Linked DNA regions of Styela clava. The protein of the gene in region 1 purifies or fractionates together with the protein of each later gene. This does not show direct contact. Links are inferred from orthologs where the notes say so. Each region holds a gene or a part of one and is shown on either strand. Other genes may lie near its edges.

Evidence for each region.
Region 2: the proteins of SHC-transforming protein 1-like (region 1) and phosphatidylinositol 3,4,5-trisphosphate 5-phosphatase 1-like purify together in Homo sapiens (affinity purification with western blotting; 4 studies listed by BioGRID and IntAct, with this or other methods). This does not show direct contact. The link is inferred for Styela clava from reciprocal best matches to the Homo sapiens genes SHC1 and INPPL1.

What each region holds. Positions count from the first base shown.
Region 1 is NC_135252.1:18,273,087-18,280,331, reverse strand, and holds the start of SHC-transforming protein 1-like, read left to right. Parts: upstream 1-4,239; 5' UTR 4,240-4,369; coding exon 4,370-4,516; intron 4,517-5,354; coding exon 5,355-5,425; intron 5,426-6,272; coding exon 6,273-6,459; intron 6,460-7,245. UniProt on the Homo sapiens protein: Signaling adapter that couples activated growth factor receptors to signaling pathways. Participates in a signaling cascade initiated by activated KIT and KITLG/SCF.
Region 2 is NC_135256.1:234,130-241,765, reverse strand, and holds the start of phosphatidylinositol 3,4,5-trisphosphate 5-phosphatase 1-like, read right to left. Parts: upstream 3,011-7,636; 5' UTR 2,920-3,010; coding exon 2,783-2,919; intron 2,411-2,782; coding exon 2,347-2,410; intron 1-2,346. UniProt on the Homo sapiens protein: Phosphatidylinositol (PtdIns) phosphatase that specifically hydrolyzes the 5-phosphate of phosphatidylinositol-3,4,5-trisphosphate (PtdIns(3,4,5)P3) to produce PtdIns(3,4)P2, thereby negatively regulating the PI3K (phosphoinositide 3-kinase) pathways.

The sequences.
Region 1 (7,245 bases):
GAATGCTTTATATCAATGAACAGATTTTTTATTTAGCATACTGATAAAATAAAAAATTGAAATACCAAGTGTAATTTCCTATACCATTCTACCCCAATCAAGCAATTATGCTAATTTTAAACCCCAGTTACGTATTTTTTGGCATGAGGTGCACGTCTATTCAATATTTACGCTGACCCACTCTTTGCATGATGTCAGGGTTCAATCTTAATAAATATTCGAATTCCCAGTCACATTCCTTGAAAGTGTATTTAGGTAGAAATACCTAAGTTAGTATTTTAAACGGTGAAAAACTCATCCGCGTGTTCCAACCTCTCAGATGGCTGCTAATGTTTCAAAGGATAAGACAGCCAGCTGAGCGAGCTGTTTCAAGCAGACGCCATATTACAAAATATCAATCCTCAAGATTGCACGCATGATCCTTCTACTTATCGGCTGATAATGAAGACATTGTCATTTCAGCTGGGCACATCTCATATATAGACAACATAAATCTCAACGAATTTTTTTCGAAGTTATTTTAAATATTCTCGATAATCACATGATCTAACTATCGCCCAAATTTGGTCATATTAATTAATCCTTCTGCAGCCAACGCGGAGGCAAATGCTTTCACATCAGAGAATTAACGGGAGTTTTACACGTACAGCACTTCCTGTATATATCTGCACATCTATCATCACCTTGTTTATAAAAGCAATAAACAATTTATATTTCGAAAGCATAGATAAAAAGAATATCGAAAAATAATGCAAATATTACAATAATTTTAGAGTAATATACCGTATCCATATTGCAATTACGCGCGATAGCTGACAAATTAGCAACCGTGAGCAGTACGTACACTCAAGTTATCAATATTTACTAATTTTCTATTTCGTTAGCTCATTCTCTCCTTGAATATGACCAAACGGCTCGAGGCCATTTCTATTGCCTCTCTATACAATGTGTATATTACGTACGGGTTTCCAAAATATATGAAATGCAATTGCGTTTGGGTATTTTCGACCAACACGTTGTGTTATGTGCGCATTTATCTGTCAGTTGAAGTGTTATGTCATCACATGTATATTGGATTACGATAACGTCATAATTATAAGCTGTAAAATAAATTTAACAACGACTACAATGTGAAATAATTCACCTACAGTCAAGCTTTACAGAAAAGTTGAATAGATAATTTTCAAAAAGAATTGTATACGCATAAAATAATACTCGTATACAAGATTAGATATTTGAATGTTGGTTGTTTGTTCCGATTGCTGTTTACTTGACAAAATATAGTTCAAAAAAGTAAATGAAGAAATAGATAACTTTCTCCTAATTTCAACACTATTTTATTTTGCGGTGCTTAAGAAATAATGTTTTGTAAAACATATTGTTGCTATGAACACTTGTAGTATTTAACAGAACATTAAAGAGTGTTTACTCTTTACTGTAATGATAAAATATTATTCAACTGCAGACGTTCTAGTTACCTTGATCTTTCGACAACAAGACATTGTATTTTGAGTCTTATAAATTCGGAAATATCTATAGTTATCGTACTAATTAAAAATTGAATTTACTCACCCTCCTGCGCATCTTTTCCTAACAATAGTAATAGTCAACTTCTCTTGCTTATGATATATATCAGTTTGACGCAGAACAAAACTTCGAAATGAAAGAAATCTTCTCTGTTATTGTATTTAACCTGCGAACTTTAACAATGACGATATGAGGTGTCAAACATAGAAGGCATGTTTATCTCAAAAGCAATTAAAAAGCCTGCTCATCGTAATAAAACACACCACAAACGCGCATTAATAATATAATAGAAGCCTATGTTTTCACGGAACCGTGTTCGTCGATTTTTGATGACGAACTTTTTATAAGAACATTGGCCAACATCATGCGGTAAACATGTTTCCAAGGTCATGGCCTTGATAAAATTAGACTTGCCTGATTTATAGGAGTCTGAAGTGTCGAGAAGAAGTGTTACCGCGAATAGTTATAAGGGTGTTTTTACACTTTAAATCTCAGGAATTTCAATGAATTGGTAAGTATTATATTTATAATCATTAAGCACAAATAAAAATTTACTTTATAATTTTTGATATCTTGAAAATCTTGCTCCAGAGGCGTAATTTGTATATAATAAAAAATGAAAAAAAATGAAATTTTTGCGACAAGTGACAAGTTTTCTGATTGATGGTACAGCAATTGCTGCGCTTGAGCACCTCGTATTTGCCACAGTAAAAAGTAATTATGTCTCAATAATTCGAATATACTGTTAAACGTTCAATTTTAGATATTTATCTTCAGAGTGAAATGCAACGCCATTGTGTTCTGACACTGTTTGCCATTTTATCATGGCTTTAATCCAATTCTAGATTAAAATAGTCAAATGTGTTCTGGACATAGAAGCATTCCAAATGGACGAAATCAAGTGTGGGTGTTATTCATCAACTCTCGGGATTTACTTGCTAGTGACGGTCACTGGAATAACCCCTCAAAGAATACTACTTTATATCAAAGAATGTGCAGTTCCCATTGAAGATATTGGCGATATTTATGACAGCTGTTCCACTAAAGCCACCTAAGTACGGCACCATTCACGACAGTTGCACAACCAAGTTAACTCGTGAATCGAGTTAATTAATCCCAATAAACTGAATCAAGTCGAGTTTCCTTTAGTTGTTCTTAAACGGTGGGAAGCTTCATAAGGGGCGCGTACACAAATTTTGAGGGGACGGGAAGCTAATTAATAATAAAAATATATTATATTTGTTAGATTTGATCTCGCCCGCCCTGTTTCGGATATTCACATTTTGCACGATTTTAAAACTTTCATTTATTTCATTATTTACGTTCCATCCACGTATTTCCAAAGTGATTTTTTTTAATGAAACATACTTTCGCCTTACCATCTGTTATTTGTAGCTTATTGTTAGCTAGTTATTTTTGAGGTGGGGCGCGAGGCTTGAAAAATTCCAAAAAATGGGAACCACTGATTTATACCGATCCGTCATCGGATTTAAAAATATCATTGTGGTGTTCAATTTTTAAATTTTTGTAACAAAACTGTGTTTTGTGGCTTCTTCACTTCATTCTTTATTGCGATTAACGAAACGTTCATTTTTGTGAGTGACTTAGAAAAGCAAATTTTTGACGATTTTCCTGCTTCAATTATTCCCAAAATAATCTGATTTTTCACTCACTTGTATAATTTCCAAGAAAAACTACTATAAAAAGCTAACAAGAAACAAAACAAACATGTATACATGACTTTTTAAAATTGTAATTCAATTTTTGGCGGTTTGAAACCGGCTTCAACAACACAACATATTGCCGAAAATTTTTCCTAACGTCATTTTCTGTAAGTCGGGCAAATGTCATAGTCGCTATCGCTAATTTGTTATGCAATGTTGGTTAATGTTAAATTGGTTATTGTTAATAGTATATTCAAATATCAAGGAATGAACACTGCCAGATGTGTGCAGTATATTATGGTAAAAGAGCCGCAGGCAACAAGCCGGAAATGTGTGAAATTCGTTTCATTGTTAAACGTTTACTTTCTTTTTTTAAATTGAAACTTTTCATTCGGCCCAACCGCGGAGCTATATATATTTCTAGTTCAGTACATCCAACGAATTCATTTAATGCATTTCTGGTAGAAAACAAGTTAACGGTTCTGTGCAATAAGCAAATATTATTGATATTTTCACATCCATTTAATAGTTGTTTAATAGTTGAAGTATTCGGCAACCAGTTGTTCAAAATGTATCTTTAAATTTTTAGAATTCCAACCGAACAAATATAACGAGATATATATCACTGATTCGAATAAACTGGATGCTAATTTAGTCTAAATAAACACGTATCATTATATCATTTTAAATCGCTGATATAAATTTAGCACTTCACACACGCAGCGCTACAATGATTTTCAAATTAATAAAAAGAATTTAAGTTGATTTAAAAAATCTCAGTACCCTTTTATAAATCAATATGAAATTTTGTATTGCACTGACATGTCTTGATTTTTTCTTGGATATGTTTTAATATTATCAAAAGCAGTGGCAAAGCGCACATTGAAAACACAGGGTCGCGTTTTGACGGCCGATATTTTCCGACATAGGTATCTAAAAATTCACATCGGTATGTCGTAATTTTTGCTCTATTCTGAATCATCGTGAGGTGGCGCTGGAGATCAACAATTTTTAAGAATATCTCTATCTCTATCTAACTTGACATTTCACAGTTAGTCTCAGACGTCTGGACGTAGCCGAGCTGTTCTTGTTTTTATCTTTTCCGCCGGTAAACGTTTATATATATTCTGATATATGACTTAGATTTTGGTGAATTTAATAAGCAAACAATACAAGAGATGAATCGAATGAAAAACAAAAAGGTAATCGAAGGAGATCAAGCAAATGAATGGAGGAAATCAGGGAGCTTTGTGAATAAACCTTCAAGAGGATGGCTCCATCCAGATAATTCTGTGATGGGACCTGGCGTCGTCTATGCAGTTCGGGTAATATTTGATGCACATTATGGTTTTAATGTTTTTCATTATAATCTAGTAAACTCTGTGTATGCTGCAATGACTCAATGAATAATCTAGGAAACTTACAGGCTTATCCAGTTATCGATGAGAATAACTGAATAGAAGAATAATGGGGTCTAGCGAAGTAAACCTGTAAACGCTGTGACCTAAAATGCCAAATATCTGATGTAAAATGAGCGCCAGAACTGCTTAAATAACACAGAACTAGAATATGATGGGAAATTTTCATGTTTTTTTTTAAAAAAAAGTCGGTCAGCGTGGAATGAAATTCTTGGCGTATTAAGTCAGTAAGTAAAATGAAACCCAAGCTCACTAGAAGTACTAGGCTAGACCCCATTTTTGTTTGGCATCATTTAAGCTCTTACAGCGTTCACTTCGCTAGAACGAAATAATGCCAGACTCATACCAATGAAAGTAGAAATGATGATTTTTTTCCGTATTTTATACTTGAGATAGCTTCTCTTGTTAACTAATAGACCAATCGATTTCAAATTTCCGCTACTTAAATGGGGAAGTAATAGCCTGACGGTTCAATATTTTTTTTTTCAAGTTCCCCCTAAACCCTGTGAGATCCGATATTATACCCAAAATATCACTGTTTTATTTTTATTCATGGAAAACCTATTTTTATTTCATTTTTGCCATTGTCAAGGTTATCCTTCATTTTTGTTTTGTGAACTAGGTACTCAGCCACGTTTGAGTGTAAGATACATAACCTACTGCAGTTAATTGTTGAACTGTCATGTTCATAAATTTGAGCATTTTTCTCATATTTTTTATCTTGTTTTTCATATTTTTTTTATAGTATCTTGGATGTATAGAAGTCAGGCAAAGTATGCGGACATTACAATTCGATATGAGGACACAGGCAACAAAGTGAGTTTCTAGTCAAAATGTTTATCCCTTTTTGTTAGAGCCTGACCATTTAGTGTTAAATTTGGTATGCAATTTGTGTACAAGAACCATGATAAGTATACAGGAAGGTCTTATCTTTCCTCATATCTGTTTATGGTGAGGTGATGTAATGAATATTAATAAGCATTAGTCATTGTAATTGTCATTCACAGTATATAAAATCTTGGTGTCAAAAGGGTTCACGGGTATGAACCCAATGAAAGATCCAATCTTGAAATGAATTCAGAAGCAATTTTTCTAACGCTTCGACTATTATTGTATCCAGCCTGTAAGAGTCGATCTGCAAGTAAAATACTGCCTTTTTTACTTCTTATGTAAGACCAATAATATAGGCCAATTGCTGAAAAAACTCAATTTTTTTAGGCATCTAAATTTTTTTTATACCATGTTGTTTATGGCCTTTACCATCAAAAAAGTGAACAAGGCTTTGTAAAGCATCTACTGCTAGGTATCAATGATCAAATTACTTCAGATTCGGTTCAAAATGATTACGTGTAGTTGTTGGTCCATGCTATTTGTTGTGGTACAATTAGATATTAATGGTGTTTTATCCATGTTTATTCTAGGGCAAAGAGTCTGTAAAACTGTAAAAAAAGTCTGTAATTTTCTAAGAGATATAATACTGTCAGTAATCCTTTTATAAGTGGAAGTCACAGGCTTAAGGATTAGTTTGCAACTTGCAAGTTTAAACCTTCACTCTGGAAAAAACGGCTGTTCCAAACTTTTTATATCAGACAATGTAGCTGATACCATAGCTTGATCCATTTACTAATTTTTTCTGATGATTTATTCTGATATTACTTTAAAGGGAAGCAATATGGAGAATATTGATGGCCACAAGACGATCACATCAACTGGTTTCTCGAAGGAAAAAGACTCCGAAAGAAGTTTCACGAATTCTAGGAGAACGTCCCAATCTACAGTTTTCATTATCATTGATTAATTTAACAATTTCAACAGCAAGTTTGACTTTGGTTGTCACTGATTCGGGACAGGTATTGATGATATTTATACACTTTAAAGAAAATGTGCTTCACACATACTCAGTAATGAAAAAGCTCTGTGTGAGGAAAGTTACTGGTGATCACTGAAATGACAATAGCTAACATGGAGTTTGAAACCTTCTCGTGAGTTATCTAACTCTAAATTTCACCAAAGGCCTGCAGTTAGATTAAATATTCTCATCATCTTCTGCTTAACTAAGATATTGTTTGTTGTAGATTTGCTACGAGCATTCTTTCATTACAAAAGTTTCTTAATTTGAAAATAACTCATTCTAGCTCACTAACTTCGTTTCTGCAAAAAATGATTTTAGTGGGTGCAAGTAGACAAAAAATTAATCATCTTTAAACTTGCCTCTCGGCTCTGACTAGGTTCTCAGAATGAGTGAGGTATGGTGGATGTTAACTTGAACAAATCTCTACCAACTGAGAGTTATAAGAGTCCTTCAATTCAATTTGATGATAAACTCAAGTTTTTATTCTTTTGCAAATACGATGGAAAGTGCAGTTGACAGTTATACTGTCATAATCCATCCATCACCTTTTAGGTTTGAATCTTGTGATTCAAATGATAAGTACAGGTTTTTTCTTCTTTTTGCAAATACAATCGAAAGTAAAGTTGACGCTTAGAGTTGTTATTAATATTGCATACTATCGGCTACTAATGTTCTTCGGAATACTGGCAACACAAGTTTTGTTACACTTTGTTGTTATTGATATGGTTTGTTTAGAATTAGGATCAGAATGGGCAGGCTCTGATGTAATTGCCACTGTGCCATC
Region 2 (7,636 bases), on another chromosome or scaffold:
AGTAAAATTTTTATTAACGGAAACTAAAATAATTAGGTTGAATTACTATTTCAAAGTCTATAAAAGAATGTCCAGACTTTCTTTTTTATTATTAACAATTTAATCAAGTTGAAAGTTTTTAGTCAAAAGCTCCATCCAACATGGAGGTGGGATCTGACTAGTTTTTTCAGATTTGGAAATAAGTTTTCCCGACTACAAACTTTCAATCTGATTCTAACATACAGTATAAAATTAAATAAATAGATCCCAAAACTGATATATGTGAAAGTTGAGCATAAAATATTGTTTGTTGTTTTTTGATTTCTCTACATCAGTGGTTCCCAAAGTTGATTGTCCGTGGGGCCAAAATTAGAAGCGGAAGTATATTCTCAGGCCATGGGAGGACAGTGCAATAGGCCGACACCAGTTTGTGTAATTGATATACCAGTTTAATTGAATCCTTGTGTATATATACATGCTTAAACAGTGATAATGGTGCAAATGAGTGAAAAAATGTAAAGTTTGGCGGATCAAAATAAATCGCTAAAAGAGCTATTAATGGACCGCGGGGCAATAAAAATAAAATTTAGCCTGGAACAAGATATTTAGATTTGGAAGATTCCTCTATAGTTAGGGTCTGGTATAGTTTAGTACCACATATACTTCTAGTGGGCGTTGCATCAAAATTTTTCGACATGACAATCCTAACCCCCCCCCCCCTTTTGAATTTTCCTTCTGCTAAAATCGCCCATGTTTTCATCAGCGTGTTATTTAGGTCGTAAACGACCTTATGTCGGTTTTTATTCTTTCTAAACCATAAATTTCGTGTGCTTACATCGCACATTATGTTTGGTCGCCGTTTAGGAACATACCGTCACTAAAAGCGAAACACGGTTAAATATAGTGGGTGGGATTTGCCTTTTATCCATTACTTTAAAATTGTCGTAGAAAATTTTCGTGTTATCATTAAACAAGGTTGAAAACGCGATTTTTTCCCGGTTTGTGATGATATATAAGATAAGTAATGCGAAGTATATCCATCAATTTTTATTGTACTGAAATGAATTTTACTCCATGAGAATTTACAGCAGATTTACGGATTTTTCAGGAAGTTTTATCTTTAAAAATAATCGGAGTGTCAGCATTGCGATTGAACGGAGTCAATGTTACAAGCACATCTCAAATTTGTCGAATTTGCAAAATAGAAAAAATACGGATCAAAACAATATATGATAGGCGACGGGCAGTTACCACAAATTTTTATTTTTATGTCGGCAAATGGCTGAGGTATTTTAAAATTGTGAATTGTAAGAAATTGTTTTGTTTTGTCGACGCAAACGCTGGTTAAATTGAAGACAATTAAATTAATAAAGCAAGACATTTTAAATATGCCCTTATCGGTCACGAATTGATTACTTTGCACAACAGAAAAATCATTTTTTGTTGTAAACGTCGGCTCTTTAAACAAGTGGCGTAATCGAGGCGATGAATAGGTATTTTTGATTTAACGATATACTTCATATGCATTTTCATTGTATGAAATAAAATTGTACTTTTCGGGATTTTATATCAGTTATTGAGATTTTTCTAACAGCGATAACGAGTTGGCAAGATTCCAAAAATACGTATTAAAATTAAATACACCGTTTATCTCATATTTTTATGTTCACCGATCGCCGTGGCATTTCAGAGAACTAATGTTTTAATTTTGACGTAAGAAGAAGCAACCGCGAGTTACGTTGGACACAATTAAACTAATATATAAAGACATTTTAGAATTTTGTAGTTGTCAGAGATTGAATATTTCACGCGAAAAGAATAATCATTATACGCTGAAAAGACGTCCCTTTAACGAGCGCGTAATGCGAAGACTGTTACAGACCGCAATGGGAATTTATGATTATGAAACCCCCCCCTTTTGAAAATCCTGGCTGCGCGCCTGCCCCCACCTGACTACGTCATCCAAAAATTATGTCAATACGACATCACAATCACAGCAAAGAGCTTGCCAAATATACGTACGATCGCCCGGAATGGCATCGGCGCCGACGATGAAAAACTGACTCACGTCAGCGATCTCTCTCATACTAGGATTGTAGGGACGAGAAAACGAGATGTCGGATGCGCAGACGAGCGGGTCTTGGATGACAGTCCGCATATTTTGAAGGGCTATATTACGTCACTGTGACGTTGCAGTGACGTAATTTTTGGATGAAGTAGTCAGGTGGGGGTTAGGATTGAAACGTGAAAAAATTGTTATGCAACGCCCACTAGAAGTATATGTGGTACTATACTATACTAGACCCTATAATTACGGCAGCAGAATTTCAAAAAAATATTAATAAATATCATAAATTATAATTTTACCTGCACAGCAAGGAGTCCACTGTCTGTTGGCAATATCCGATATGTATGTATTGACCCACCGTGCCTAGGAATACAACATTATTTAAGAAAGTAAATTTCTATAAAAAGATTGGGTAAAATACTTTCTTCATTTTTGAAAGAGGCCATTGTAATTTCAAATCTCTATTTTCACCTAAGACTGCCAAGCCTACTGAACTAATTACAAAATCAGACAATCAGAGTTACCGTATGTTTCAGCAAATAAGGCGAAGCCTCATTTTAGCACCAAAAACTGAATACAAATCATGTTTGATAAGACTTTAGGCCGATAAAATCTGCTAAAATAACCGCAAAGTATAGAGAACATTTGGAAGGAAGGCATGATCACAGACGTTTGAGAAACGTTGTCTTAACCCACCAAGCAATAAAGATAACAACAAAACAAGTAGATACTCACAGAACGCTGAGAGCATACGCTCCCATGATACTTTCGCTTGCACGAACAACAAAACTTCCGTCCAACCCTGCTTTGAAGACAAGTTCTTCTGCTCTTTGTCGACTGAGTCGACCATGATACCATTTCTCTTCAGACATTCTCAGTGTTCGCAAGAATCACATGTTCTGACTACTTTTACAAATAAAACTACTGTTAATGCAGTAATGAAACTATTTACGAATGAAAGTGAACATTTCAATATATAGTTCAGGACAATTGAAAATTCATGTCGGTTTACAGTTGATATTGGAGCTGAGCATCGGTTTGAATCAATAAGTTATTCGAATTGTTCCAGGCAAAATTTTGAATCGTCACCATTTTGCTTTTTGTCTGCCAAAGATCATAGTAAATTCGTTAATTTGTCTGCCAAAGATCATAGTAAATTCTTTAATTTCTTAAAATGCAAATTTGACATATGACCATTTTCTTTTTAGCGTTTATGATAATTTTAATTTATATCTCTGGGGGCCCAACACAATAAAAAGTCACATACAATTGCGTAGCTTCCAAGTATTCGAGATTCGATTCGGAAAAAAAAAGTAATTCAATCCTGAAATACAGTACAGCACACTATCCAAATTCCAGGAATTTCCCTCCATTTGGCTGAATAAAATAAACACTCTGTGTCTCACAAACGAGAGGCGTCTGGGACCCCGTCAGATGCTTTATATCGCGTCATGCTTGTCGTAATAATAATCGAAATTAATCGCGGCCGTCACATGACCAAAATTGCCGTTTCTTGCTAAAAACTCTCGAATGCTACGGTAATTTTTTTTTCTTCGGTAAATCGGATTAATTTTTTTTCAAGGAATTCAAAGAAGACGTTACTAGATTGCGCTTTTTTGTAGTATTTGGCGCAACTCCATTATACTGTATTATTACCGATATTGAGGGATAACAATGTCCAGACGTCTAGTGTCTGATCATTTGCAAAATGGGTTTCTCTGAAACGGGACAATGTCACCCGATTTGTATAGTGTGCCGTACTGAAATACTCATGTAACTGAAAATGCCCAGCCCTAGTTGTTATCTGATTCATTGAGGCACACTTCTCAGGCAAAATTCTCCAATTCCAAGACTGTTCCAAAATATTGATGAAAAAACAAAAACTAGGCATGTTTAAAACAAGGAGTGATGCCAGACGCAGTATCAACTGATTGGGCAATTTAGCATAAGGTGACTCCAACTGTAATCCAGATAATCAGCTTGACAATATCTTCCGAGGGCTAATTTTATTTTTGTTTGTATATTTTTCTTTTTATTAAGTAATAGGGTGGTGTAGCCAATCTGCGGACCATTTCATTCAAACCGCTACGTTTGGAATATGAAACCGTATGGAATTCGCAAGCTTATTTAGAGAGACGATGGGTAGTTGGCGACATGAAAAAATGATCTGCTTTTTTTCTTCGGTCAGGTTTTCGGGCGAAACTATTTTGTTTGTGGCCGAAGTTCAGTGTCATTTCGCAGAGCTACGGGGGATAATTGGACGATAACGCATGAGAAATATCGTCGCGGTTCGTTAATTTATTCGGCATTAATTTAATCGATAAAGTTGATGGCCGCAAATAGGTCGTGGCCGCAAAGTGGCTAAGCCACCCTATATTTTTCATGCTCCTCTTTTTTTATCTCTTCTAATTTTATTTTGATGATTGTATGTACAGATGTACCGTAAACGCAGGTAACTTCGGATGGTTTATAACTTCGGATGAAATTTTCAATCGTTTATATCTCGACTAAATTACGTCATATTCTGCTTCTGGCAGTTTCTATAGAGAGTCCTTATATATCTTAATCTCTTATCATATTCAGTCGCCTAATAGGATTTATTTTTTGACACAAAAAATCACCTTTTTGCCAAAAATTGACACCTCGCTTTTGAGCGGCTAAAATAGCGACTTCTATCGACGCTAACTTCACTAAAAGACCGTCAATCGCTAGAGGGCATACACAATGTACAAGGAAAATTACAGTGATCACTAGATGTCGTACGAGATTCAAGTAAAATATATTATTTTGATTTAAAAATTTCGTCAAAATATCGACGTTACGGTGCTTACGCTGAACGTGACGTCAACAACGTGATTCAATTTCGCTCCATTTAAGGCCGACGTCACATTGCGTAACTCGCTGCGACATTTGAACGCCAGACTATGTGGCGCCACGTGTAGTTAAATATAAAGTGAAAACTCCTACCTGATCCTCGTCACCAAATCCTACAAAAACTTAATTATAGCCCCGGTCATATGCTGTTTATTTATTGTGAATCCGATTAATGCACATTAAATTTGTGTGTTAACATTTCGGCATTCTTCGACCGTATAGATGTTGTTGATACGTAAGGCTGATGAACAGCCAGATACGCGTATCTATACTATCACAATGACAAGGTTTTACGATCGGCGATGATAATATATTAAGAGTAGAATGTTGCACAGGTGAGCATGAAACTCTGCACAGGTGCACACAGCAGGAGATTGGAGGTTTTTGGCGTTTTTATCCGTTTCATGTCTATCTGCCTGTGAATACATTATATCTGAATTATCAACACGGCCACAAGCTACACTGTTCCATATTGTTGTCCACTTCCATTTTTTTTACTTTTACTACCTACCGTAATTCATCATCCATTTTTCTTTTTTATTATTTTCATTCGTTTCATTTTTGTTTTGTATTAAAAATTGTTTTCCATTTTTACTTTTACGACTTATTTTATTCGTCCGTTTTTTATTTTCATTTGTCCCATGTTGTCTCATTTTTGTTTCGTATTGAAACGATCATAATAGCAAGATATAGCACTTTCATGAAATTAAGAATAGTCAAGAGATAAATGGTTTAGTTTTGCGAAACGTCAGGAATAGGGCTGGGCAAAATTATTACATGCGTTGTATTTTGAAGCATTTAGCGGTAATAATTATGGCGCGACACTGTCAAAATCGCCGAGTAAAGTGCTGAGTTCGCAAATTCCGCAGATAAAATTGTGAATTAGTCGGTAACGGTTTTAGCTATAATAACCGTTGGGGTATTGTTTTGTTCAAAAAAGTTAAAACTTGAGGGAAATAGTTATAATTAGTGTCCGACCCGCTATCAGGACCAAAAGCCTTATGACAAGTATAAATGCATAACGGCCGATTTATTCAATCATTATTATAAATAAAAATTCAGTATTCGCACAATCGCGGGTGCAAAGCATAACAACATCAATCATCGTCTTAATAAATATCTCCATCTCGGCGACGATAATAATATCACCGTTCGCTTTAAACTCGAACGATTAATAGTATACAAACGGTGATAAGTAAGATCAAAGCCAACACGTAAGATTAAATCAGAACAAAATTAATTTGGGTTTTGAAATCAGTCCTTCTTGTCTTCAAGAGCTGTTGCCGATGTAAACACACGGGTACACCAGATATATAAAACTTTGATGTCCGCCGACCCGGAAGAATTAATAATCACAAAAACGGCCATCATAGATGAACGTCAGTGTGCGACACGCAAAACGAATCACGGCGTCGTAAGTTCTACGCAGCGACGTTATCACGCGTCACTGATCACGCAGACATTTCTCTCTCACGACGAAGTGACGCAAAGCGAAAAGTGGCCATCCGAAGTTATAAACATTTGGAATACAGATCGGCAGGCAAATAAAGTCAATAATTTGAATGAAAAAAAGTATTGATTGATATGAAACCGAGTTTATCGCGAGGAGAAAGGCTTCAATGTATTATATTCCAAGTTTGGCTTCAATTGAACAATAAACGGCGGAGAAATTGTTCATAATATAGTGAAATCATCCGAAGTTACCTGCTTTTACGGTATATGTTTTATTTAACTTAATACTCCTGGGTTAGCGAACACGTACCACTTCTTCTGACAACACATTTTAATCTAAAATCTGTAAATTCTGACATTTCAAATATTACTTACAACTTAGGGTTTTGTTCGCTTTCCTGATTCTGTAATCAGTTCAGCAGTTTTATTTATTTAGTTTTTATCATTTATTTTGTCCTCTTTCATGCTGATTATGGAGTCAAAATAATAAACTTATACCGGTCAATCATTCCACCTAATGCAGTAATGTCAGAATGTTTCAGTCCACTCCTTAACTCAGTCCCGTAACTCCAGAACAGTCTAAAACGTATGTGGGGGTGGCCATTTCTAGAATAACGGTACAATTCAAATTTTCAACTATCTGCCAAAATCAATCGTCTGATCGTGAAAATATCAAAAAGTTCACCTAATAATATAAAAAATTCACCTAATAAATCAAAACATAGCGACAGTTCTCGGTAAATCCAACCCTGGTTCTATTTCCTTGTTTCGTTCAAATTATTACGCTTGGATGATTTATGACGTCTTATTAGTGGAGGGAGTCTGCTCTTTTTGACATCTCGGCGTTGGCGCAATGGATAGGAAGGATAGGATTTACATATTTATCCCGGGGGAGAGAAAAGCCGATAAGACGGCTTATCCATATGGCGAACCACGGCCTCTCGTCCGGTTACCATTCCAAGTTGGGTATGGGATTAGTTATATTGTTTGCTTTCGGAAGCCGTAACCGACCAGCGGTTACGTGAGCCACCCAACGACGACGCACATAACCATCCTGCATGGGATTCGAACCTGCGAACACCCACACAGAGTAATTAATCTAACGCTTAGCCAGTTGAGCCACACCGCCGCGCCTGAGTGTTGGAGGAGAACGTTCGCCATATAAATTCTGATTTACTCTGTGTTCGCAATTTCTCATACTTTTGTGTTTCTCATACGTTTTGTAATATCCGGTTTCAATTGTTTTTTTTTAGGGTTTCTCGA